3 linked regions of the Caenorhabditis elegans genome follow. Changing the gene in region 3 together with the main gene of any one other region gives a genetic interaction. Each region holds a gene or a part of one and is shown on either strand. Other genes may lie near its edges.

Region 1 (7,567 bases), on a different chromosome or scaffold from region 3:
TGCTGTCATTCCATTACACACGAAGTCCAGCATACATTTTTTCCCCCGAAAAACGTCTTTGTTTATCTTCCACCAGTTCCGCGCGCCCGCTCTATTCCTCTTTTTCTCGTTTATTTTTCCATCTATGCGTTTGTTGTCTTTTTGTTGATCTAAATATTGCATAATTGATCGATTAATTTAATTTTTCTTTTCTAGGAAAAGCTGCCAGAAAATTCCCATTTTTACATAAAATTCATAAAATTTGGCGTTGAACTCAAAACTTTTACGATCGTTTCCTACTCTCCGCTTGCAACCTCAATTCAAACGCAACTTTTGATATTTCAGATAATTAGAAAACCAAAAGTTCAGGAACAAAAACAAAAATGTGCTTCTCGGCGCTTCGAGAACGTGTATTTCGTCTGAAAAACTTGCCGGCTGGTGAGATAGCAACCCCACTTCGAAGATGTCTGAGTACTTTTGACATTACTCTTCTTGGAGTTGGCCATATGATTGGCGCTGGAATTTATGTATTGACTGGGTCGGTTGTCAGAAACACTGCGGGACCATCAATTATTCTGTCTTTTTTGCTAGCAGGTAAGTAAACGGCGGCTTCAGTAAATTATTTCCATTTTTCAATATTTTTTAAGGTTTTGCATCTCTTCTCTCTGCTTTGTGTTATGCCGAGTTTGGAGCTAGGTTCCCAAAAGCTGGAAGTGCATACACATACACTTATGTTGGAGTTGGAGAGCTATGGGCTTTTGTTATTGGATGGAACATTATACTAGAGCACATGCTTGGAGCTGCTGCTGTCGCTAGATCATGGTCTGGATACTTGGATTCATTACTGGGAAATGTTATTTCAAATTCAACAATTGCTCGCACTGGGCACTTGCATGAAGTAAGCCAGTAAATGTTTTTATAAAATTTTGAATTCGAAATTCCAGGCTTCATCATTTTTCGGCGATTACCCTGATCTTCTCGCTTTTCTACTCATCGTTCTTGTGGCATTTTTTGTTGCTCTTGGTTCAAAAGTGTCCACTAACTTCAACTCTTTCCTAACAATTCTCAATATTGGAATTGTTGTCATAGTCGTGTTCTATGGTATAACGTTTGCTGATTTCTCTCTATGGAGTGGAGTAGATGAGAAAGGGAATTCGAGATTCTTTCCGTATGGAGTATCTGGAATGTTTGCTGGAGCTGCATCTTGCTTTTTTGCATACATTGGATTTGACGGACTTGCAACTGCTGGAGAAGAAGCTAAAGATCCTGCACGGTGAGATTAAAATTTATGTGAACTGAGTATGTGAAATCTTAGGTAATTTATTTTAGATCAATTCCAATTGCCACATTCTCCTCTATGACAATTGTCACACTCTCCTATGTTCTGATGTCAGCTTCCCTGACATTGATGATTCCATACAATATGGTTCATCCAACTGCAGCATTTTCTGATGCATTCACGATGCGTGGAGCAGAATTTGCAAGCTATGCGGTCTCGGTCGGTGCTCTTTTTGGAATGACAACTAGTTTGGTTGGAGGAATGTTTGCTCTTCCGAGATGTGTATTCTCAATGGCTGATGATGGACTTTTGTTCAGCTCCTTGGCATCCGTAAACCCAAAAACTCAAGTTCCAACTCAAGCTCTTCTTATTTTTGGATTCCTCACTGCAATCATTGCATTGCTTTTCGATATTACCACTTTGGTAAGCTGAAATACGTTTTAATATACTTTAAACAAAATATTTCAAGGTTGAATTCTTATCAATTGGAACTCTTCTTGCGTATTCTATTGTTTCTGCCTGTGTAATCGTACTTCGCTACCAACCAGCATATAATGTTGATGAGGGCCAATTCGACAATGGAGGAAAACTTCGATTCAGCATTCCATTCTGTGGCTTCCTTGATAAACTTCAGCCAGGACACTCGATTTATTATGGGATGAGCGTAATGATTGCTTCAATGTTCTTCTCAGGCCTTGGATTCAGTTCTGGATATTTATATGGAACTGTTCTCTGCCAAATATTCTTGCTAGTCAATATTGCTCTGATAATTCTCTCATTCCTCTTTATCTGCGCTCATTACCCCAATAATACTCCACTGGATTTCAAGGTATGATTGATAATTTACGCAGGAGATTTTTATGTATAATGTAAATATTCCTTTCAGGTACCTCTCGTTCCTCTTATTCCTGCCCTTTCACTCTTAATCAACACTTTGATGATGGTTCATCTTGCTTGGATCACATGGCTCCGGTTAGTTGTTTGGATGAGCATTGGTTTTGTTATCTATTTTGGATATGGAATTCATCATAGTAAAGAAGAAGTACAAGACGCTGAAAAGTTCTCGAAGAGCTCCACGTATGAGTCCGTGGTGTCTGGAGTAGTGGCTGGAGCTGGAACGACGTCTCCGTGATTATACCTTCTAAACTCATCAGTTCTGTAAATAAACCGCAGTCTCCTTTTTATATTAATTTATGTTTTCTTTAAATATCAAATCTCTCCAAATGAACACTGGTTCCTCTCGTTTGTACGCATTTCCTGTCTGTGCTTCCTAGTATTTTAGTTACTTTCATTTCTTAGTATTTTTGTTTCCTTGTTAATAAAAAACTTGTAAAATCTCAGTTTTCTAAAACAACCATAGTTACGCAATTATCAAATACATATTCATTACCCTTTCTTATCACTAGCCGCCTCGCAATTTTGCCCGATTTTATGGAAAACGAGACAAAAGGATAAGCCTCGAGGCAAGGGACTGGGCGGCGGATGACGCGAGAAATCTCGTTTTTCGAGTTTCCACCTTTTTGATGATGAAGACGTAATCCGAATCAGAAGGAGACACTGGCATTTTTTATTCTCACCGGGACACACAATGAGGAGGAACCTCGTGGATATTTTCTACATTTCCTTACTAATATTTATATCTGGTTTGGTTTTTTGCACAGATGCTTCGGGTAAATATTCTTAATATTTTTACTGTCAAAAAGTGGCAATTAATCAGTTTTTTGCTACTCATAATTTTGGAAGTCGACCAAACATTTTTTTCCCTGCATTTTTTATACTGTAATTTTGTTTTAAATATTTGTATTAAAACATTGTAGGGGTCGGAAAGTGCGATATTGCTTTGGATTTCCTCAAAACCTCTTTTTTTTTTCAAAATTTTGGCAATTTGCAAAAAACTTGATATTTGGATGTTTTGGATTATTATAAGTATATTTAGACAAAATCCCCACTGGCGCTACTTCACCTTCAATACATATTTTTTTAAATTTATTCATTCATAAACTGTTGAACATAATTGTAAGAGCATAATTTGATAATCGCGGGGAACTTTAAATGCGCACTGCACCTCTTGAAATCATTTGGGAGTAAGTTTTCCAGTCCCTTTTAATTTTGTTTTTTGTTGCAAGATTTATCAAAATTCGTGTGAGCTATAATAATAATTCAACTGCCCGTAGTACGGCTAGATGAATCATCTCAAAATTGAAGTCGGAAAACTAATCGGAAAATTCAAGTATAGCCTGCCTTATCTGTTAGCTTTATCATTTATACCGGGACAATTTTCATAAAACGCAATTCCTTATCACCAAACATCTTTTTCAGTTATCAATCGAAGATTACGTCGAGACACAGAAGCGCCCATTGCGCGTGGTTTCAATCGAGAAATTCGGCGAAAACCGCCTGCAATTCTTCAATTAATCGGTCCGTTGGCATTTGGAAGAAAAGATGGAGACGATGCAAAAATGCACGTGCCAATGTTAGGCCAATTTGGCGTTGGAGATGTTAGTCAAATGACCGCAAAGTTTACTCCGGAAGGATCTCAAGGTCAAAAAGCGAATGGAGGAACATTTGATATTGATGATGAAAAGGGACCTCAGTTAGGATATATGGATCGAGAGACAACCATGGGAGAAAGATCGGGCAGCACTGGAAAAGTAAGATCATGTGTTTAACAGGATTTTCAGAGTTTTAAAGTTTCTAATTTCAGATGTCTTTTGGAGGTCTAGGAAACATTGAGATGGGAAATATAAACGAGCAAGGAACTGGGCTTCTAGACTTTTCAAAATCTCGTAAGTCAAGTCAATTGTTTGAAATATATAATTACAACATTTTCAAGTTTTCCCGTTTCTACAACTTCCTGCTCTCAAAAACGAAACCGAAAACGTGAAAGAAGAACATACACAAGTTGATCAAACTTATACCGACTATTACTATCCGAAACCCAGATCTTACTTGGGATCTTCTTACGATATTAATCGCCCTCAAGTAGGCGCAGCAGAGTCATTAGTGTCGCTTGGAAAAAACCGAGAGGACATTGAGTTCCCGAAGCTAGTAACTCAAGAGCCACCGAAGAAGTACAGTAACCCATTTGACAGTGTTCAAATTCGTCCGAGAATTCACGCGGCTGTTACGAAGACAGTAGATGATAAAGATTTAAATTCAAAGGAAGGATTTATTGCTCAAAACGGAAAGCAAGTGGACCCGGATGAAGATACAGCGCCGCTTTTGACTGCTGAGCACAAAGTGTCGCAAGTGACAACTAGAAAGTCTATCCATGAAGTTGGTCTGTCCGTTAAAGAAATTTACGCACTTTGTGCAAAATTTGCACCAATGGCAAATCAGGTAAATGATAGAACACAATCAATTTTTACCACAAATTAAATTTTGTTTCAGCATTGCTACAAAAGTAAAGTCGAAGAACAATTCATTGAAAGATGCAGAGGATATCAAAAAGATTGCGTTGAATTTATAGCAAAAGTCAGTTGATTTGACAGATTTCTTAAAAATTATTCAACAATGTTAATTGTATAGGCTCGCCCACTTGGAGCAATTGCCAATTCTTTCTCTTCTGGAGTTGGTCTTACGTACTACGACTGGAATGTCAACGGAATCCCGTACTACCCTGTAAACGAGGAAGGTTCCATTGGAAACGGCCATCATGGAAAAGTAGATTTTGGAACGTGGGGAGGAGGATATTCTGATAATCTTGGTGTAAGAGATTTCTGGTCTCAAACCCAAGAATATGGAGCTAACTGGTACGAAGGTAGGATTTTACGGCTCAAAAAATTTTTTTATAATTTTAAGTTTTTTAACGATTTCAGGCCAGTATGGATACAAAACTGGATGGAGTATTCCAATTGTGCAGGGAATTGGAGTTGAAGGAGGTCAAGGAACGCAAGTCTCAGTGCCAATCAAAGAAGGAGAGCTCGGAAGACCGATTTCAGTGACTAATGGGTACCACGTCGGGCCATTTATGGGATTAGCAGATAGAGTTGGAGTTGATTGGCTCAACGGGGGAGTCTCGTGGAATAAGGTATGCAAAATCTTGGTAATTACAAAAACGCAGGGTTGTTTTCAGGGTTTCGCTGTCCCATTCGTTGGAGTTGGTGTGAATACCGGAACAGCTGTTGGGTTCCCTAGTGTCGGAATGATAATGAACAGGATGGGTATGGACGGAGTAGAAACTCTGAATAACATGGCAAGAGCAGCGGCTGCCCAGACGGCACAAGTGGCAGAACATAGATCTACCTCCATTGACATTGGAAATCTGTATCAATAATCTATCTTTAATCATTGAATTTCTGGAATCTCGTGCAATGTTTTCAACTAATAATTATTGTAAATAAAGTTTATAATATTAAAATCAGGTGAATTAAGCCAATTCCCTTCTTGCATGAGCCATTGCAATCTGTAGACAATGAAGCCATTCCTCCGCATTTTTTTCATCTTTGGCTTTCAGAATCATTGATGTATTGTCAGCTGTGAAAATTTCAAATGCCTTTCTTAGACTCTTTCTAGCTTTCTTTCCACGACCGAGCGATCTGACAGATCGGATAGAACGAAGATCGATTGAGGGAAGGAGTGCTCGGGAATCAGTCTGAAAAGTGACAGAAATGATGTATCAAAATTTCCGATTCCGGAAAAAAACGTACCGGCATATGTTGTGTGCTATAATTCAATGCAGCCGATGACAAGGTAAAGTATTTGGTGTTCCATCGTTTCAAAAACCTCCATCGCCCTTTTTTCTCTTTCAACTGTCCTTCCAATACTTTTTCGGCGCCTCCTTCTTCAACAAAGTATTTCACTTTTTCAGGATTCGTACAACTAATGCAATTCCACATATTATTCGTAGAGTCCATTGTAAAACAAGCGAAAAATCCAGCTTCGTCAAGTTCCTTAATCAGCTTGTTCTGGTCTTTTGAGTTTGGAAAAGCTGCAGTGATCATTGTATCAAAGGGAACACTTTTTGTTATAGAACTCGGTAAACACTTCCAACAATGTTCAAGCGTTTGGTACTGCTGTGAGTCCTTTCCGACAACTTCACCGAATTGGGTTATTGCCGAACATTCCATTTGCAGAAACATGAAATGAAGCCAAAATGCTGGATATTTAGTTTTAAATGCAAATAGGTATTCCTTGGTGAATACACAACATGGCGAAGAACGAGTTTGACACGAGAAGTGAATGACCATGCGGTGTTTGGAGTCTGGAATATCGGTTAATCGTCATTATGAATCAGCTATAACAACTCTTACTTTTTGAGCCTTCAACAGTGCATTGCACAGGAACTGGAAATCTTGCGTTCACTTCTCCAATATACCGACGAATTTTATTTTTTCGATGCTCAACAAACTTGTAGACAACATCATTACGATCATTCTTGAATTCCAAAATTAGGGGGTTTTCAAAAATAAAAAACTCACATTGATCCACTTCTCGTCTTCTTCATTCAAAGCACACATTTTTGAGGTGGTGATTGGGCCCAAATGAGCTGGAAATGTAGTTTCTGTGCTTCCAGCTGGCCATTGTACAGGTCGACGGCCTCCGCCAACAGGTCTCACTCGCCCATCTTTTCCCATTTGAATTTGAGTCATTGCCTGAGGAGCAAACGCGTGTGGAAGTGTTTGAATGCGAGAAGTAGAAGATGACGTTGGTTGTGCCAGTAGTACATTTGTTCGGGAACTTGATGGCATCGAGATCATTGAAAGTTCACGAGACTCGTTGATATCAGAATATGGTCTAAATTGTTTTTTTTTTCAGTGAAGACTATACCTGAATGAATACACTTACCCGTGAGTTCCAGCTCCTAGCGAATGAGCGATGCTAGCGTGACTCCGACGACTTAAGCTTCCACTTGACCGATTGTTCTGGTACTGCATTGCCAGTGAATGCGTATTCCTATCGAGCTCACACAATTCCACTGTTGGAGAGTCGCAAACTTCGAAAACAGTTCTTCCGCCACTAGTAATCAGGTTTCCAAATACTTTAGAATTCTTTGAAAGCAGCGACTCTGTTGATTGCTCTTTGATATCGTACGACATGATATTTTCACTATTGTTAGGATTTAGATGCGCCAAAATCCGTTCAATAATTCTACTCGTTGGAAGTGTTTGGAAGAACGATACATGTCTTCTAAGAGAAGTTGGATGAATTGATCCGATTGCATCAATTTCATTCAGAACTGTTTGGAGTATTTGCTGATCCGATGAGTTGTTTCGAGCCATTAGAACAAGCTCGTCGACTGCTTCAGAAGCAAGTGGGGAGGACACACGACCTATGTTTGCAATTATCTGTAAAGAAAGCAGGATACAT
Region 2 (9,980 bases), on a different chromosome or scaffold from region 3:
TCCAAAACTCATGGAATATGAAACGTAATTGCAAATTTGAAAAGAAATTTTTGAAAAATAATAATGCATTTACCTTTTTTAAGATATTTTTATATTGATCATTTCATAATTTTTAAACAATACTTGAAATTGAGTTCTATTTGGTCTTTTGTTCAATGATTAATCTATTAAATGCACCGGGCCAAATAGAATTATTTACGCAATTAGTTTATTTCTGTTTTTCTGAACATCGAGAGTAACCGAATTGAAATGTAGCTTTCTCAATTATTACAAAATAATTGAATAATGTGCTCTATGGGAACAATGTGCTATAAACAATAAACAATTTATAAAATTGATTCTGAAATTGTTTTACAATCTATAAAAAGTGTCTATAAAAATAAGAATTCCTAGAAAATATGATATTGAGTTCACTTTTAATTTAAAATGTATATTCAATTATTGCTATTTTTCAAGTACTAATCAAAATGTTATATTTCAGTGTTTTTCAGTTTCCAGACTCCATACACTTTCCGGTATTCTTAGAACAATTTTTTTTGAAAGTAGTCAAGCGGGTTATTATCGTGAACTTTGAAAATACATCTTATTTATTTTTTACACCATTTTGAAGCTTTCAAAATATGGAACCAATTCAAAAATGCTTCAGAGCGAATTTCACAATAAAAAGAAATTACCTTCTTCATGAAAAATGACATTTTGGATTTTTGGCATAATTTCCAAAAATTATCTTATTCTACTGAAATTACCAAATATCACAGCTCTCACGGGCGCTTCTCTAACTTTAAAGTCTATTCGGATGTGATTCCATCTGGAATAATTTCAGACTTGGAGCAATAATGTTTGAAATAAAATATTTTTTAATTTGTTTTTAACATTTTTTATTGTTGTGAAACGGGGGTGTTTTGTGGCCCGAATGATAAAAACTGATTGGATAAAACAACAAAAATTATCATCTAGGCGAAACTTTGAATATTAAAATTGAAGAGAAGTAGGAAAGTAATGGGATATGAGAAGAAAACAGCGCATACCACAATTTCTACCGTATCCTGGTTGCGATTGCATCATCTCATCTGCAGGTAGCGATCTCGTCAAGACTTTGATTTTATTGTTTTACTTTGAAATTTCAGGCTTAATTTGTATCAAAATTTTTATTGACGACGATTTCTTATGCAACCAGGGACTCGGGATGGTTTGGATGGAACATTGAATAAATTTGTATTAAAAATTGATGGGAAAACATGAATTGTGGGTGGGAAATGATGTCGCTCGATTGACCTAATTGTTCGAAATATTGATTGGGGGACAGTCAGTCAGAAGCACGAGGGGCAGTGGGACAGAACAAAAAGATAGTCGAGAAGATTTAGTGATGGAAGAACGATAGAAAAAGCGGATGGGCGCATTTGTTGGGGAGAGAAATAATTGAAAATTTAAAAAGAAAGAGAAGAAGAACATGAAAGAAATAGAGAAGAAAAATAAAACAATTATACACATCTTATTAGCAATTTATTTGATGATTTGATGTATGGCGACGCTTTTTGGGATGTTTAATAATCGTCTTCCGTGACGAAAATCTGCAAGAAAAAACAAACGAAAAATGTGAAAAACAAGTGACGTAAAATAATTAAGGTGTTGGGAACAAATTTTTTTAAAGATAAAATGATAAGTAGTAGTTGCTCAGGATTTCTGTTTTCCGACACAGACAAAAACAATTCTTGAAATTTTCTTATTGAAATTAGAACCATTTTTGATTAAAGTATTTGTCTATTCTAACTATGAGCGTTTAACATAAAATCTAAAGTATTGACAAATCAAAGTATTTTCAACAAAAAAAGAAAATTAAAATACCTTGGAGGATGACTTTCCGGTGACAACAGATGAACGATGCTTGGCACGGATGAGGTGAAGGCTGGACTCGGCTTGATCGGCACGGCCCTCAGCATCCTCGAGCTCGTGTTGGTATCTGCGGACTCTCTGGAGGTTTTGCATTGTTACGGACTCGGACTCAGCAAGTTGTCTCTTCTGGATGTTGAGCTTCTCGGTAAGACGATCAGCGGTGTCTTGAGCCATAACGAAGTTCTTGTGCTCTTCATCAACGAGTTGTTGAACCTCCTTGATGCGGCGATCCTTCTTTCTCAAGGCATTCTGGGTCTCCTTGTGTCTTCTGGTTTCCTCATCAAGAGCGGTCTCAAGATCACGGATTCTGGTCTCCAACTTGGCGATGACTCTCTTTCCTCCGAGAAGAGCGGCAGCCTCAGCTTCTTGAATTTGAACTTGGAGTTGCTTGACTTGCTCCTCAAGAGACTTTCTCAAGGCATCGATTTTCATCGAGTGTTCTTGTTCCTCATGAAGTTGTTCAACGGCACGGGCAGCATCAGCAAGAGCACGGTTGGCGCGCTCATCAGCGGCGTGGAGTTCCTTGGTGACCTCATCCAAATCAGCTTGAGCGGTGGAGAGCTCAGTCTCGAGTTTGTTCTTGATGGAGGTGAGGTTGTTGTTGATGGAGATAAGGTCGGAGATACGTCCATTGGCTTCCTCGAGGTCAACCTCGGCTTGCTTACGGGCGCGGATAGCGTTGTCGAGAGCGGTCTTGCATTCCTCGAGTTCAGCAGAGAGAGCGGCGACCTAAACATATATAAAAATGAATTAAGAGACCACAAAAATGATAACTCACCTTGCGTTGAGCGAGGGCATATTGGTCCAAAACTTGTTGCAACTGACGTTGAGTATCCTCCAATGAGGCTTGGAGAATCTTGAGTTGCTCCGATTGCTTTTTGATGGTCTTCTGGGCTTCGATGTTAGCTCTGTAATTTATGAATTTAAGGGTTGAATGTTGAAAAAATTAGTATTTACCTGTTAAGGTTATCAACAGTCATCTCGAGCTCAGCGATCTCAGCCTGGTACTTCTTCTTCAGTCTAGAGATCTCGGACTTCATGCGGGCCTCGGCATCAGCCAAAGCGGCAATAAGTCTGTCGATTTCGAATTGAAGGTTCTTGCGAAGAGCCTCCATCTCTTCTTCCTTCTCTTGGAGACGACGTTCCATTTCGATGCGAAGAGCCTGGAGCTCAGCAAGGGCACGTTGAGCGCGGTTTTCGGCGTCACGGCGTTGAGCATCAGCCTCCTTGAGGGCAGTCTGGAGCTCACGGATTTCTCCGGCAAGACGGGCGTTCTCGAGGTCGAGCTCGTGGAGCTTGCGGTTGGCGTCGGCAAGAGCCTCCTTGGCTTCGTGAAGTTCGTCGTGGAGCTTCTTGTTCTCGCGAGCAAGAGCCTCCTTCTGTTCGACAGCCTTCTCGTACAAATGCTTCATCTTCTGGAGCTCAGCATTGACGGCACGGAGTTCGCGTTGAGCAGCTTCGAGTTCAACAGTGATCTCATCGATACGGACCTTGAGTTCTCCAACTTGTCTCTCGAGTTGTTCTCTGGCACGCTCCAAGAGAGCAATGGTGTTCTGGGCCTTCTCAAGATCAACGATAAGAACCTCGACCTCAGATTGAAGACGAGACTTGGCCTTCTCGAGTTGAGAAATCTTCTGGAGCATGATCTCGATTTGCTCTTCATACTCAGCTTGCTTCTGGAGCATCTTCTTGCGGAGATCCTCAACTTCTTCGTGGTGAAGGGCGACCTCAGCATCGAACTTGCTCTTCCACTGGGTGATCTCAGTGTTGGCAAGGTTGAGCTTGTGCTCAGCATCGGAACGGGCAATCGACTCCTCATCGAGAGCGGTGCGGACCGAGTCGAGCTCGAGCTGAACCTGGTGGAGTTGAGATTGAAGTTGGGAGCGCTCCTGAAATTTCAACGTTCTTTGATCTTCGCACGTTTATGCTTTTTTAATGTCCAGAAATGCGTCAGAGGAAGAAACCCGATATTTCCGCCTCTGAATTTGGCACTTTGGACTAGTAGACTTACGCGCTCGGCATCCTCAAGACGACGTCTGGCCTCCTCGAGCTGTTGAGCGAGGGTGTACTTGACGTGTTGAAGGTTATCGAGTTGAACCTTCTGGTCGTGAACCTCCTGAAAAACATTAACGATCCCTGATCTGCTAACAGAACACACTGAACGAGACAAAAAAACGATGAGGCTCACAGAGCATCCTCCTTTCTAATATCTCGAGTACTCTATTTGCACACACACTCTGCGGAAATAGTAGCGATAAAATAGAGAATTTAGTAAAGAAACCCCCTGTTAAAAGGGGTTTCTTTTTTTCTTTTTACCGCATTTTTTTGCTAAAAAAAAGTAGAAAGATGAGCAGAGTGATCGGTGGCACGTGATAAAGATGATAAAACTAGAGATTATACACATGATACTTCAAAAAACAAACCTTGAGAAGATCATTGTTCTCAGCTTGAAGGCGTTGACGTTGTTGGGCGAGGTCATTGACGTGCTTGTTCAAGTCCTCGACCTTGTTGGCAAGTTCGTTGGCTTGGGCTTCGAAGCGCTCAGCGGCCTTCTCAGCGGTGTGTTTGTCCTTCTGGAGCTGGTCGATAGTGGCGGTCAACTCGATGACTTCGTGTTGGACGCGTTGGCGTTCGCGGTCGATCCTGAATGATGATGATATTGCGTGGGATGGGAGGATATTTGGAATTTAACAAAAAGTCAAGCAGCGGCGAACAAGTAATTCTTGATGTGTCAACAATATGTTTGGCTATGAATGATGTCAGAAAGCAGCCGGTTTGGACAGGTGAAACTATTGATAGTGGGTGGAAAAGTATAAACTAATTTTGGATTTAAAAACATTACGTCAAGAGTTGCACACAATTATTTTCATGGGAAAGTTGAACTCGAAGATTTTTGAACGCAAGAAGGGAACAACTAAAACTTATTTTACAACTGAATAGATCATCTATGTACATTGTTTAAAAGATTAACATAGATTCTAGAAATGTGTTTTAAATTACGGAAGATTTTCCTTGATTTCATTGAAAGTTATTTGAGCAAAAAAAAGAGACATCATAAAATGAATCCATCGTAATTTAAATGGGAAAAATACAGTATTTTTCCTATTAATATACAGGATTTCTCACGCATTTTTGTTGTTGAAATGTGTTCATAAATGAAAAATAACCGAGATATGAGCTGTAAAACTAGAGGATAGGAGGTGCAAGACTAGGCTAGCAACCCCTTGTTATGAAACAAATAATGTTTGATCCTTACTACATTTTTAAATATTCTATAATATGTTCATGCATTCGTCATTCAAGTTCTCAAGCTGTCCCCTTCCCGTTCATCTCAACTTCTCATCCCAACTTAATCTCATTATTTTTTACCACCACCACTGTTTCACGGGAACGCAGATTGCTCGCCAAGCATCAAGATCAATGAGAGAAATGTGAGAGATATTGAGAAGATCAGTAAGACGCAGACATTCTTGTATCTCTCTCATCTCTTCCTGGAAGGCGAAACAAACACACACACACGAGAAACGTTTGTTATTTTACACACTTTGAGCTGATGCTTCTTCATCTTCTTATACTTCTTCTTCAGAGCTTCTGCCGAGCCGCCAACTCCTCCGCTGCCATTTCAACGCGGGAAGATAGAAGAAGAAGAAGAAGAAAATGAAGGCACAAGTACTAATACGAAAAAAAACTTAGAAAATAAAGATAATAACTTACTTGGCATTTTTCTTTTGGAGTTGCTCGATCTGATCTTGGTAGTCGAGGCAGGAATCCTAAAATTTCACGAATTCTTTAAGCTATAGCATAAAGATTACTGTACCTGGTGCTTTTTGCGGAGAACATTCATGGCATCTTCGGATTCAAGTTGAGACTCCTCGAGGAGCTTGCGAAGCTTTGAGAGTTCTCCCTCACGTTTGCGGTTCGATTCGATCTGTAATTATAATGTTTAAAGGTATAAGATGTTTCTTTAAATTGAAATTCATAAAAACTGGAAACTCACTTGGCTGTCGGTGGTTCCCTCGGCATCCTCGAGTCTGTCAGTCAAAGCAATAACTTGAACGGAGAGATCGGCACGCTCACGTTCAACCTGAAAATGGCAATCATGGTATCAGAGATAAAAGGTAAAAACTCACTCTGTTGCGGAGTTCGCGCTCTGATTCCAAATCCTCTTGGAGAAGACGGATCTTGTCCTGAAAAGTGAAACTGTATTAATTTGTAAAATCTTTGAAGAATTAATTGTTTCAAGAACTGATTCAGATAAAAAAAGTATGGATTCCGATTCTGATTGAACTTCTTGATGAACCTTATTACACGGACCTATAAATTTAGTGCCGAGTGGGGAATATTTTTAAAGTACTGTGAAGATAAACATCCTGACGTCACAAATTTAAATGTCCCGGAATTTCTTGAGATCAAACGACAAGAATACACTCGTAGCATACAATTCGATATTACCATTTAGTTTTTTTTTTGAATTGATATCTAAGCTTAACAAATAATGCATTAGGTTTCTTCGAAATTTTACAACACAGTGTGGGAGATTATAAGAGAAACGTGAAAATAGCTTATAGATATGAGAGACGTAGAGTGCATTTTTTGGAAATAGACCAGCGAATGATTTGGTAATTGTTTTTATTTTAATTGACAAAATGTTTTTGCAGGCAATTGGCAATAATCGCAAATTCAGTAGCTAGAACCATGAGAAAATATGGGGTCAAAAAATAATTGTTTTTTCAAAGAAAAAAAGCGTAATTTTTGTTTTTTATAAGTGCTATATTTGAAAATCTGAGAATTAGGGTTCTACTTTTTCTTGGAAATATATGTAAGCAAGCAGTAAGTTAAACAAAGGTTGCAAATCTTAGTTACACAAAGAAACTAGTTGCCGAGATGAATGATGAACAGATTTTTCAAAATGAAGATTTAGAATAAGGAATCTAAAGGTTTAATTATAGAGAAAACTAGGAAGTTTAAAAATTTTTCTGAAAATAGTGTTTTGGCTCGGAATATTGTTTTATTCCATACATTTTGATGCAGAAAAATAATATTTACAAAACTGAAAACGCCGTTATTTGTCAATCATTCAATTTAGGGACAAAACAAACATTTTTCTTGAGACTGAGGAGTACTGTAAAACTACAATTTGAGATTTTTCAAGTTTTTCAATTCTTCGTTGCTATATTAGATGCCTTTTTTACTAAAATTTAAATTACAGATATAATTCAAAATATCAGTCAATGAAACATCGATTCGATGAAAAATGGAACACGGGTTTTGGGGTTTTGGCAGTGAAATGTTCAGAAATGGTAGAAAACATTCAAAAATTTACCTCGAGTCTGGTGAGTGATCCAAGATCGGCGACGGACATGCTGCCAAATGGAGCACCGAACGCTGCTTGCGACGGGCTCTTAAGAAGAGCAGCGGATGGCGAACGATACAATGACATGATCAAATGGAGTATTCAAATGGATGGTGCCCCTGTGTGTGCTGCTGGCTGGCTGGCTGCTTCGAGACTGACTGATTGTGCGTTGGGGCTCTGCCGTCGGGAAGACACATACACACATATCTCATCCCGCGCCGTTGCGTCGTCGATCGTCTCTCTGTCTCCAAGTATCTCTCATCATCAACTTCTACGAAGGTAGTGTGCCCGGCAGGGAGCGAGAGAGGAGCCTCAGTGTAATCCTTCTTGCCTAGCACTGAGCCACCCTCCCACTCTACGCTGCGTATCTGATAAATGCCATTGTGTTTTTGCCAACGAGTTGGCGGGATACGATCTCGAGAAGAGCGCGCCGAGAGCCGAAGCGCAGACGATGCATCAGGCACCCGCGGGCCAGGAGGTTTTAAACATTCGAATGATATTGGTTTGGTTCGGGTTGAGGCGACACGGAAGAAATTCAGCAAAAAGGGATGAGCACAGACAAAAAACATCGGGATCCACCAAAAACTTCAACTCGTGTTTGTGTGTGCCTTTTGAATGTCCGAAAGGGCAGGTGTGAACTTTGACGAACGGATAGTAAAACGAAGACCACTTAAGAAAAAAGAAACACAAAACCAGAAAAAGCGAGACTGAACTGCCATTAATCGAATGCCATTCCACCTATCAGTAATCAACTCTTACTTTATTCAGGCTCTTCAAGCCTGGGTTGTCTCCAATTTTCATTAAAGTTTCTCAGAACTATACTGTTACCTTTTAGATGATCCATTTTCATAAATTTATAAAAGTCTTCTATTAATGGTAATACGTCTATACAGTCGAAATATTGAAGAATTCCAAAACTCGGTTGTCAACTATTTGAAATTCCTTAATTACAGATAGTTATGCTCTCTTCTTGTCCATATCTATTAATACACTTCCTTAATTGATAGCCTTGTCATATATGATCTGATCAATGTTTTAAAAAGTTCTTGGATCTCATATTCTGAAGAAATAAGTGCGAAGTGTGTAATAATTGAGTGTATCCCGGAGAATGTGTGTGTGTGTGCGTGTGTGAGGGGGTGGGGGAGCGTATCACAACAAATTGTGATGAAATCAAGTTTTTATTACTTCTATAATAACTTGGTATTCAATTTCCAATATATCGGCTCTTCCGAATGTTTTTTCATTAATGAAAAATAGGCTTGATAAACTGATTTTCAAACTGAAATTGTGTCATGACGTCAAAAAATCAACGTTTTCACTCCAAATCCCGTTACTTCTTGTGACTCATGTCATTTTTAAATAAGTGTTGTGAAATTTCAAAATCTTTTCTAAATTTTCAGAATTTTACTTCCATTACGACTGATCAACCAGACAACAAAATACTCTTGTTGAGCAGTGTCAGCTGACAAATCGTGATGACCGAGATAATTAGTTGGTTGCAGAAGCAGGGGATGGTGAAATGTACTGACATTCGTTTGAACTTAATTTCAGATTTGATTATAAAGAAAAAATCTTGAACATTGTAAGTTGATGTTTATTGATTGCAAAAACTAGGATGGTTTTACCCCGCTAACAACTTTCTGAGGAAATATCGATTGTCGCACATTTCCATTCCAAAACGTGACAAAAACTTATAAAATGTAATAGAAAACGGTAGACCATTTATATTTAACTTTTACAAAGAGTGGACATACCTTTGAATAGTTTTTGTTAGACTTTAGTAAGGCCAGATTTTGGTTAAACCTTGCATACGATTTCCACAAGATTTCTAGCAGTGCTGCCGCTTGTTAAAATTATTTTTAACATAACTTCGAGAATATATGCTAATAATGCTGTAAGTTTTCTCTCAAGATAGAAACTTGGAACTACTGGATTTATCATTTTGTAGACAACTATCCAAAACAAAGGTAGATCAAAGCATTTTAATTTGTTGATATCTTCCAGATTTATGCAGTGAAACATGTTAAAGTGAAATATACTTGTAGACCGTATTTCATTTTATCTTTTTTGTTTTTAGCACTATTCCTTTTATTAGGAGAAGATCTAAAAACAACATTTTTTAAAGATATTTGCATATTTTTAAGTTATGCAATTTTGATTAATAGCTATATATTTGTCACCTTTCCATCTTTTGTCCATCCATTTTTTTCGTGATCATTACAAAGAATCTCTTCAATAGAATTCCCTCCAGAAGCCGCCCATTCTCTCTCATCGGTCTCCACTGCCATCTCAATATCTTTTTTTGCCACCGTACACTCTCTGAACTCTTCAGTGACAAGCCCACATCTCACACTCTTCTTCTACTACACATGCTTCTCTATCACATTTCTTTTTGTGCCTTCGTTGAAATGGCAGAAGGGTCCGGGAGCACAGAGGATCTTTCTCTCTGTGCTACTCGAGGAGCAAGAATGAAGAAGCATTTTTCGGCCCCGCATTATTGTTTTAAAGTATTGGCAACTGGGAGGAAAAGAGATATAGATACTCAGCAAAGGAGGACGATAATGAAAAATTTCAGCCGAAACATGAGATCAATCTTCAAAAGAATATTAGAGGGAACATGTCAAAATGTTCAGATTTTAGAAAAAAAAAATTTGTTTGAAAAAAATTTTAAAAATTTCGGAATTGAGTATTTGAAGATAGTTTCGAAATCATTTGAAAGTTACTGTTCTGATAT
Region 3 (6,484 bases):
GTTTCTTGTTTGTTTTAACTCGTCACTGAGCTCTTCTCATGTTGATGAATAAGCGGTGAACGCAAAGCAGGCAAAGAGATGCATAATCCGCGGTGTGCTGAAAGAGATTGGGTGAAAATAATTGCCTATTTTGAAAGTTGACGTCAAAAAATATGGAAAGAAAATAACTATATTGTTTTTGGGAAGAAAACGAAGATGGTGACAAATTACATGTCGGGATTCTTGTTTTAGTGTGTTAAGGGGCCATTCCTATATGATATTACGAGAACACTGAATTTCAAGAATGCGTATTGAGCAAAATATCTCGTAGCGAAAACTACAGTAATTTTTTTAAATGACTACTGTAGTGCTCGTGTCGATTTTCGAAAATGTTTTCTTTTCGAATTTGGACAGCGGGTTTCAATTTTGCTTCGCTTTTTCGAATTGTAAATAATTTTAATTGATAATCGCTGCCAAAGTTCGAGAAAATATTTTCGAAAATTGAGCCCGTAAATCGACACGAGCACTACAGTAGTCATTTAAAAAATTACTGTAGTTTTCGCTACGAGATATTTTGCGCGTCAGATGTTGTGCAATTCGCATTCTCAAAATGTAAATAGTGTTCCTGTAATATAGGCGCTGGGGAATTTTAGAGAAAATCAAAATCTATAGGAAAAAACTATGAAAATTCCAAGTTTGCCTAATAATGCATATTTATTTCAGGTATCTTCATTCCTGTTTCGTGCCTATTTTGTTGGGTAAGCGGTGGTTGTCGACGATCGAAATCCCGTCGAATGTCCTTCTTCGCAACACTTTCAAGTCGTCAAAATCGAAGTCGACGTGGCACAGGAAATGATGAGGAGCGAAGCAGTTTGTACCCTTCCTCTCCACCCACTCTTCAAATCCGTAAGTTTCTCTCTCTCTCTCGTGTTTTCCCATCCATTTTGAAGTTATCATCAAAAACCACAAAACTTCAAAATTCACCAAACTTTTCCAGCAGCATCCACAAAGTGCCGACAGCCATCGTCCTTTTCTCTTCCCGCAGTCTCTCACGACGTCATTTTAGAAGAGAGTGAATCTTCTGATCATGAATGGAGGAAGGCCAAGAGGTGCCGAAAGATAACATTTGATCTCTCAATGACACGCCGGGATAATGATCTTTCACAACTGTGATTAAATTCAAACTGAAATCTAGTATTAACGGGTGATTTTGAAAATAAAACAATTGAATATGGCGAAGCACTTCATTTGACTTCGAGCAATACAGGAATGCAAAAATAACTGGCGAACACAGCGTCTATAAAATACAAAAAAAACAGAAAGATGCTCAGAAAATACAATACGTGGGCACATTCAATAATGTTAGCAAGCGAGGTAGGTTAAACGGACTGGTAGTATATTTTCAATATAGAAGATCTGTTTTCCGATTGCTAATGTTGAGTGTATGTGAGAGATGGCAAAATAGGGAAGATGCTGAAACGCATTCCTACAAAATAACACCGGGGGGGTCGATATAGAAGCTACAGGGAAGAAAAACTAGCAACGAATCATTTGACAAGGACAACGAGTGTCGCTGTACAAGAAGATTCCGTAAAAAATTTGTTAAAGCTTTTTGGTTAAGTGAAAGTTTAGGGGTGTTCGATAAAATGCAAAACACGCAGTTAGTAGAAATAAAATGGGCGTATCAGTTGAACTGATTACTGGCTTGACGATTCTTTTGGTGGAGAAACAGACTTTCCGTGGAACGATGTGGAACCTTCGTAGAGAGCAGCGAGAAGATAATCAGGGCTGTTATGTGGGGACCAATGAATCTCTTCGTCTAAAATTTGATTTTTAAATGAAAATCGACAATCTAGAATCTAAACTATTTACCTGAAACTGTCTCGCTCTCTGATGATCTCAATCCAGAAGATGTCACAGATGGTGCTCTCTTTCCTTTGTTAGCACTATTATTTCCTGATCCAAAATGGTTTGAAGTGTCGAGAAGAGCAGTAATCTGGTCACGAAGATGATGTGGGAATATAGAGTTCAACTCCACATCAGACAGCTCGTGATTCGAAGAATCAGAACACTTATTGCTGCATGGTGAGTTTTGTCTGTGCATGCACATCAGAATACTTGTTTCCGTCGTAGGCTCGCCGTTTTTGCAGAAGTATTCACCAGCTGAAGAAAGCTTGAGCTCGCTGTGCTTGGTGCATCGAGGTGGTTTGGTCTGCACAAGACTACGCGTGTTGAAAATTCCATTGCTACGGTATGGTGCCATCATGAATCCAGCTTCGGGAAAACATGTTGTGTTCTCCTTTTCCTTGAACAACTGATGCATTGGCTCAGCTCTCCATAAATTATGAGGGGCTCGAAGATCGACACACAGCTTTGGTGGTGGCAAAACTTCATTTTGTGGATTGTTGATAAGCTTTCTGCGGGTTGGTGTCGCTCTTCTCACTTCTATAATTCTTCCTTGAACATGTGATTCGTGAAGCGCAGCACGAGCTTTCTCACAGGATTCGATGGAATCGAGTGTGACAAACCCGAACCCTTTGGATCCACGATCATTTGTGACGATTTCCACACTCAGGACTCTTCCATATCTGAAATTAATATTCTTATTCAGAACTTGTTGTAAATTGAAAACTCACGCGAAGAACATTGCCGCCAAATCTTGTTCACGAAACGAGAAGGGAATATTGCTGACATATATCCTAAAAGTTTTTTGATGAATTCATTAAAACGGCACGACAAATTTACCTGTTATCTGTGAAAGAAGCCGGCTCACGAGTTTTCGGTTTGACCGATATTGGCATTGTGAAAATTGGATCTTTGTTGGAAGGATTCGCACTGTTAAACGGTAATCTGAAAAAGAAATACTTAATACCAACATTTAAAAATGATAAACATACCCATCATGTGCTCTGTGAGCGAAGTTAGTAAATATCTGTGTGTTTTGCATTCTGAAAAAAAAAGTTGAATAAAGAAAAATGAGGAACTGGGTAAAGAAAAGACAAGACAACAGAAGACAAGTGCAGAAATGATTCCAAATGATGATAAAACGATTGAAAATATAATTTCACATTTTCCCGCCACCGAGTTACAGAAAAATCTAAAATCAAAATTTCGCGCCTTTGTGATCTTCTAGATTTCTAGTTCATACGAACGTCGGATCAGGTCTAAAAGTTAATATAACTAGACAATTTTGTGTTCTATTTTCGATTAAAAAAATTATTTTACGAATTACTAGAAACTAAAGCTTTAATTCGATTTTCTTTAGGCCAAGAGCAAAAAATAATTTTATTTGATTCAAACTCGCGCTTCATTCATAAGCCCCGCCTTCGCAATCCTGGCACGCAGTTTTTGCAAGGAGCGTGCACGCAGTTGCCTTTCTTCTCTTTTTCTCGTTTCATGTCAATTGCGTTTTTTTTCTCTGCATTTATTTTTTATTGAATTCTTTTCCCATTTTCCCATAAAATTTTATCTATTTTTTCTCATTCTTATAGTTTCTTTCAGATACTTTGCAAAAGAAATGATAATATTATAAAGAATGGCCCTTCGAAGGAAATTCACTTTTGAACTTCCGGAAGACAGTTATTGGAATGAATCTGACTCGAATTCATCCGGATTGTTTGATGATTTACAATCAAAACAAGTAAGTTTTAACGTAGTTATTATATTAAGAAAAAACGAAAAAAATCTTTTAAAACTATAAACGTGACCAGATGTTTTACTTTTAAAAAATTGAAAAAAAAGTAAATTAACACGTTTCTTAATTATTATATTGCTCAAATCAATGTGTTTAACACGAAAATTAAAGCTTCAAGCTCGAGCAGCCGTCGACAATCTCTTCGGTGGCGATGAGACTCCGAAGCCGTACGTCCGACCGCAGAACCCAACGCCAACTCCCACAAATGTTCCACTGCAAATTGACGGAAGAGCTGCTGCTGTGTCAGACAAGGCGAATATTCGAATAACAGAGTAAGTTAATTACATTGTTTTATGAATATAAATAAGTAATTTGCAGTACCTCTCCTCGGGCTTCTGGCAAGATTGTAGATGATTTCTTGAACATGAAATTCGCTGAGAACGTTAACGTGGCGCCAGTTATTCAGACCGCTCCATCTGTGGTTTCTGAAGCAAGTGCAAGTAGTTTACCAAGTGAAGCACAACGTCTTGATTTGGATTATAATCGATTGAGACAAGAACATCGGAAACTTAAAGATCAGCACGAAGTTAGCTATTAAAGTTTTAATATAGAATTTTGAAGATAATTATGATTCTAGGTTCTTCGCCACGAACGGTTTCAGCCGCTTACAATCGAGGCTAGTATCAAGAGAATGCTTCAAGGGCATACTGTAACACTGGATTACTATAGGTCATTACGTGATAAGACACAACTTTTGAAGCAAGCAGTTGCCACGTACGACAATAATACAATTTTCAAGGTCCGAACAGCTATGATACTAATTTTTTAAAAAGTTATCTTTCTTTACAGATTGTGATTTTTCTAGAGAGAACTCTCAAGGAAAACATATTCTGCAAAATAATGGATGGCCAGAAAAGTGCATGCCGAGTTTACACACGACATCTTCAGATCACCGGCGAGTGGGACAAGATGAACAAGTTTTTACGGTATTTAATAAAAACTAAATTAAAATTTGTTGAAATCAATTTCCCCATTTTATAGTAGCATTGGTCAGTATCAACATGCATCTGTCATTGAATTCGAAGCTACGCGAAAATACAAACGAAATCCAGACAAGCGAGTCCCGTTGCTCCGAACCATGCTTCATGGTAGCTTCTCAATTCCTGAAATGAAATTTGAAGCCCGACAAATGGAAGCGTTGATGAGAAACTATGAAATCCAATTGCAAATGGAGAAAATGGATGCTGGAGATAAAGGAGAACATTTCCGAAAGTTTCCAAAAACCAGCTCTCTAATTGGATTACCTGCTCTATCGTCACTGTATTATTCAGCGATGTACCATTACGACGATTCACCGGTACATTACTCTTCAGAACGTTGCAAAATCATTCATAATCGATGTATTACAGACATCTGCAGCTTCTCTACCATCAGTTCAAACATTGATCCGATTCAATGATCGACTTGCCACTCAAACGATCGTCTCAGCGTTGACTCGACTAAGCCGTTGGCCAGATATCGATAAGCTACTTCAACCGAAAACTATCACCATGACGTTCAGTGCAGCTAAAAGTAATTTTGTGGTTTTAGCTGAGAAAATATCTAAATTAACTGAATTTCAGGTGTGTTCAAAGGCAAAAAATCAACCAGTAAATGGGGAGTTTCCATCAATAATCACAATTTGCTGACTATTGTAAAACGATCTCATCCATCTCCACCGACTGATGTGAGGAATAGTTTTAACAAGATACCTATTATTCATGTGTGTAAATTTTCAGTTCATCTACCGTATCCTGAAAGGCGAATCTGATGCACAAGAACGTCTTCGCCTAGCACTACTATTTGATGTTCCTGAAATGGTCATCGAGTGTCTGACACAGAAAGGAGATCGTCTCTCGCTGGCTTCATACGCGAAATCTCTGAAAACAAATTCTGTGGAATCATTCAAAGCGGTGGCGGCTCTCAACAATCCGTCGATAAAATGGAAGTAATTTTATTAATTCGCTTCAATGTACTGTACATGTTTTTTCACCCTCACCACATCCCTCATCACTTTCATAATTCCATTCACGCATAGTTAGTTGTAGAATATACACAATCCTTATCATATTATAGAGCATCATTTCACTTCTTAATACTATAACATAATTTCACTATTCAGTCTTGTAAATGATTAAGAATTATTCATTTTCACTGGTTCCTCGCTCTCTCTTTTTTTCTGTAGATGTAAAAACTTGTCGTTATAGATATTTATTTAAATAAAATTTATTGTTTTCTATCTTTTATTTATTTCTTTAAAAAATTCGCCGTGAAACTTTTTTTTACTTTTAAAAATTTCCACGACGCTTTATTTTTCCTTTATTTTTATTTTATTTCGACTAAATCATGAATAAGGTAAGTTAAAATTATTTTTGAATAATCAGAATGATTTGAAAACAAACGCGCTCCATGTCAAAATGAAAACGCTCCGCCCCCAACAGATGGGTCTCGTTAGGTATTGGCGGAAAACCACTAAATTCAAATTGACCCATGGAGCGCGCTTGCACCTCAATTTCAAAGATTTGTTGTTTCAGACAAGTAAGACTACTGCAAGCAGCTCTAAGAAAACATCAATTTCGAGTGGAAAACCGAAAACTCCACGACGAAAGAAGCCCGGCGCTGTTTCAAGGTGAGCAATTTTTCAAAATTTTATTTCAAATTCGGAATTTTTTTCAGACTTCTCACCACAGAACTACCGCTGAATTTTCTCTTCATTTACATTGTGTTGGCTGCAATGTTTACCACCCTGATCTTCTGGTCACTTAATCCGGTTAAATTCTAGTGATATTATTTCGTAACAGCTCTCCGGTTCAAAATAAATAACAAGACTTA

The links. A genetic interaction does not mean that the proteins touch.
Region 1: of spn-4 (region 3) and C50D2.1, a change in one rescues a mutant of the other (synthetic rescue), as found in Caenorhabditis elegans (one study listed by BioGRID).
Region 2: of spn-4 (region 3) and unc-15, a change in one rescues a mutant of the other (synthetic rescue), as found in Caenorhabditis elegans (one study listed by BioGRID).

Annotation. Positions count from the first base shown.
Region 1 is NC_003280.10:108,841-116,407, forward strand, and holds C50D2.1 (Peptidase S1 domain-containing protein), read left to right. Parts: upstream 1-2,726; 5' UTR 2,727-2,846; coding exon 2,847-2,928; intron 2,929-3,577; coding exon 3,578-3,909; intron 3,910-3,962; coding exon 3,963-4,044; intron 4,045-4,091; coding exon 4,092-4,597; intron 4,598-4,648; coding exon 4,649-4,732; intron 4,733-4,786; coding exon 4,787-5,018; intron 5,019-5,076; coding exon 5,077-5,288; intron 5,289-5,333; coding exon 5,334-5,534; 3' UTR 5,535-5,620; downstream 5,621-7,567. Other genes in the region: C50D2.2 (Cationic amino acid transporter C-terminal domain-containing protein), read left to right, coding at 363-573, 627-877, 924-1,252, 1,309-1,681, 1,728-2,087, 2,145-2,390; K10B4.3 (Protein melted homolog), read right to left, coding at 5,628-5,852, 5,908-6,461, 6,511-6,634, 6,679-6,994, 7,046-7,545.
Region 2 is NC_003279.8:7,375,751-7,385,730, forward strand, and holds unc-15 (Paramyosin), read right to left. Parts: upstream 7,448-9,980; 5' UTR 7,334-7,447; coding exon 7,217-7,333; intron 6,081-7,216; coding exon 6,024-6,080; intron 5,978-6,023; coding exon 5,891-5,977; intron 5,822-5,890; coding exon 5,711-5,821; intron 5,664-5,710; coding exon 5,608-5,663; intron 4,537-5,607; coding exon 4,317-4,536; intron 4,010-4,316; coding exon 3,905-4,009; intron 3,783-3,904; coding exon 2,851-3,782; intron 2,802-2,850; coding exon 2,672-2,801; intron 2,623-2,671; coding exon 1,846-2,622; intron 1,572-1,845; coding exon 1,545-1,571; 3' UTR 1,137-1,544; intron 1,072-1,136; 3' UTR 854-1,071; downstream 1-853. UniProt on the Caenorhabditis elegans protein: Structural component of the muscle thick filaments which is involved in assembly and organization of sarcomere myofilaments. Involved in ovulation.
Region 3 is NC_003283.11:6,781,977-6,788,460, forward strand, and holds spn-4 (RRM domain-containing protein), read right to left. Parts: upstream 2,928-6,484; 5' UTR 2,927-2,927; coding exon 2,877-2,926; intron 2,830-2,876; coding exon 2,725-2,829; intron 2,679-2,724; coding exon 2,616-2,678; intron 2,568-2,615; coding exon 1,852-2,567; intron 1,799-1,851; coding exon 1,677-1,798; 3' UTR 1,211-1,676; downstream 1-1,210. Other genes in the region: ZC404.15 (uncharacterized protein), read left to right, coding at 703-885, 977-1,152; spe-39 (Spermatogenesis-defective protein 39), read left to right, coding at 3,515-3,619, 3,785-3,945, 3,992-4,199, 4,251-4,412, 4,463-4,599, 4,655-4,970, 5,023-5,185, 5,236-5,339 and 1 more; ZC404.2 (ABC transporter permease), read left to right, coding at 5,999-6,007, 6,187-6,281, 6,329-6,434.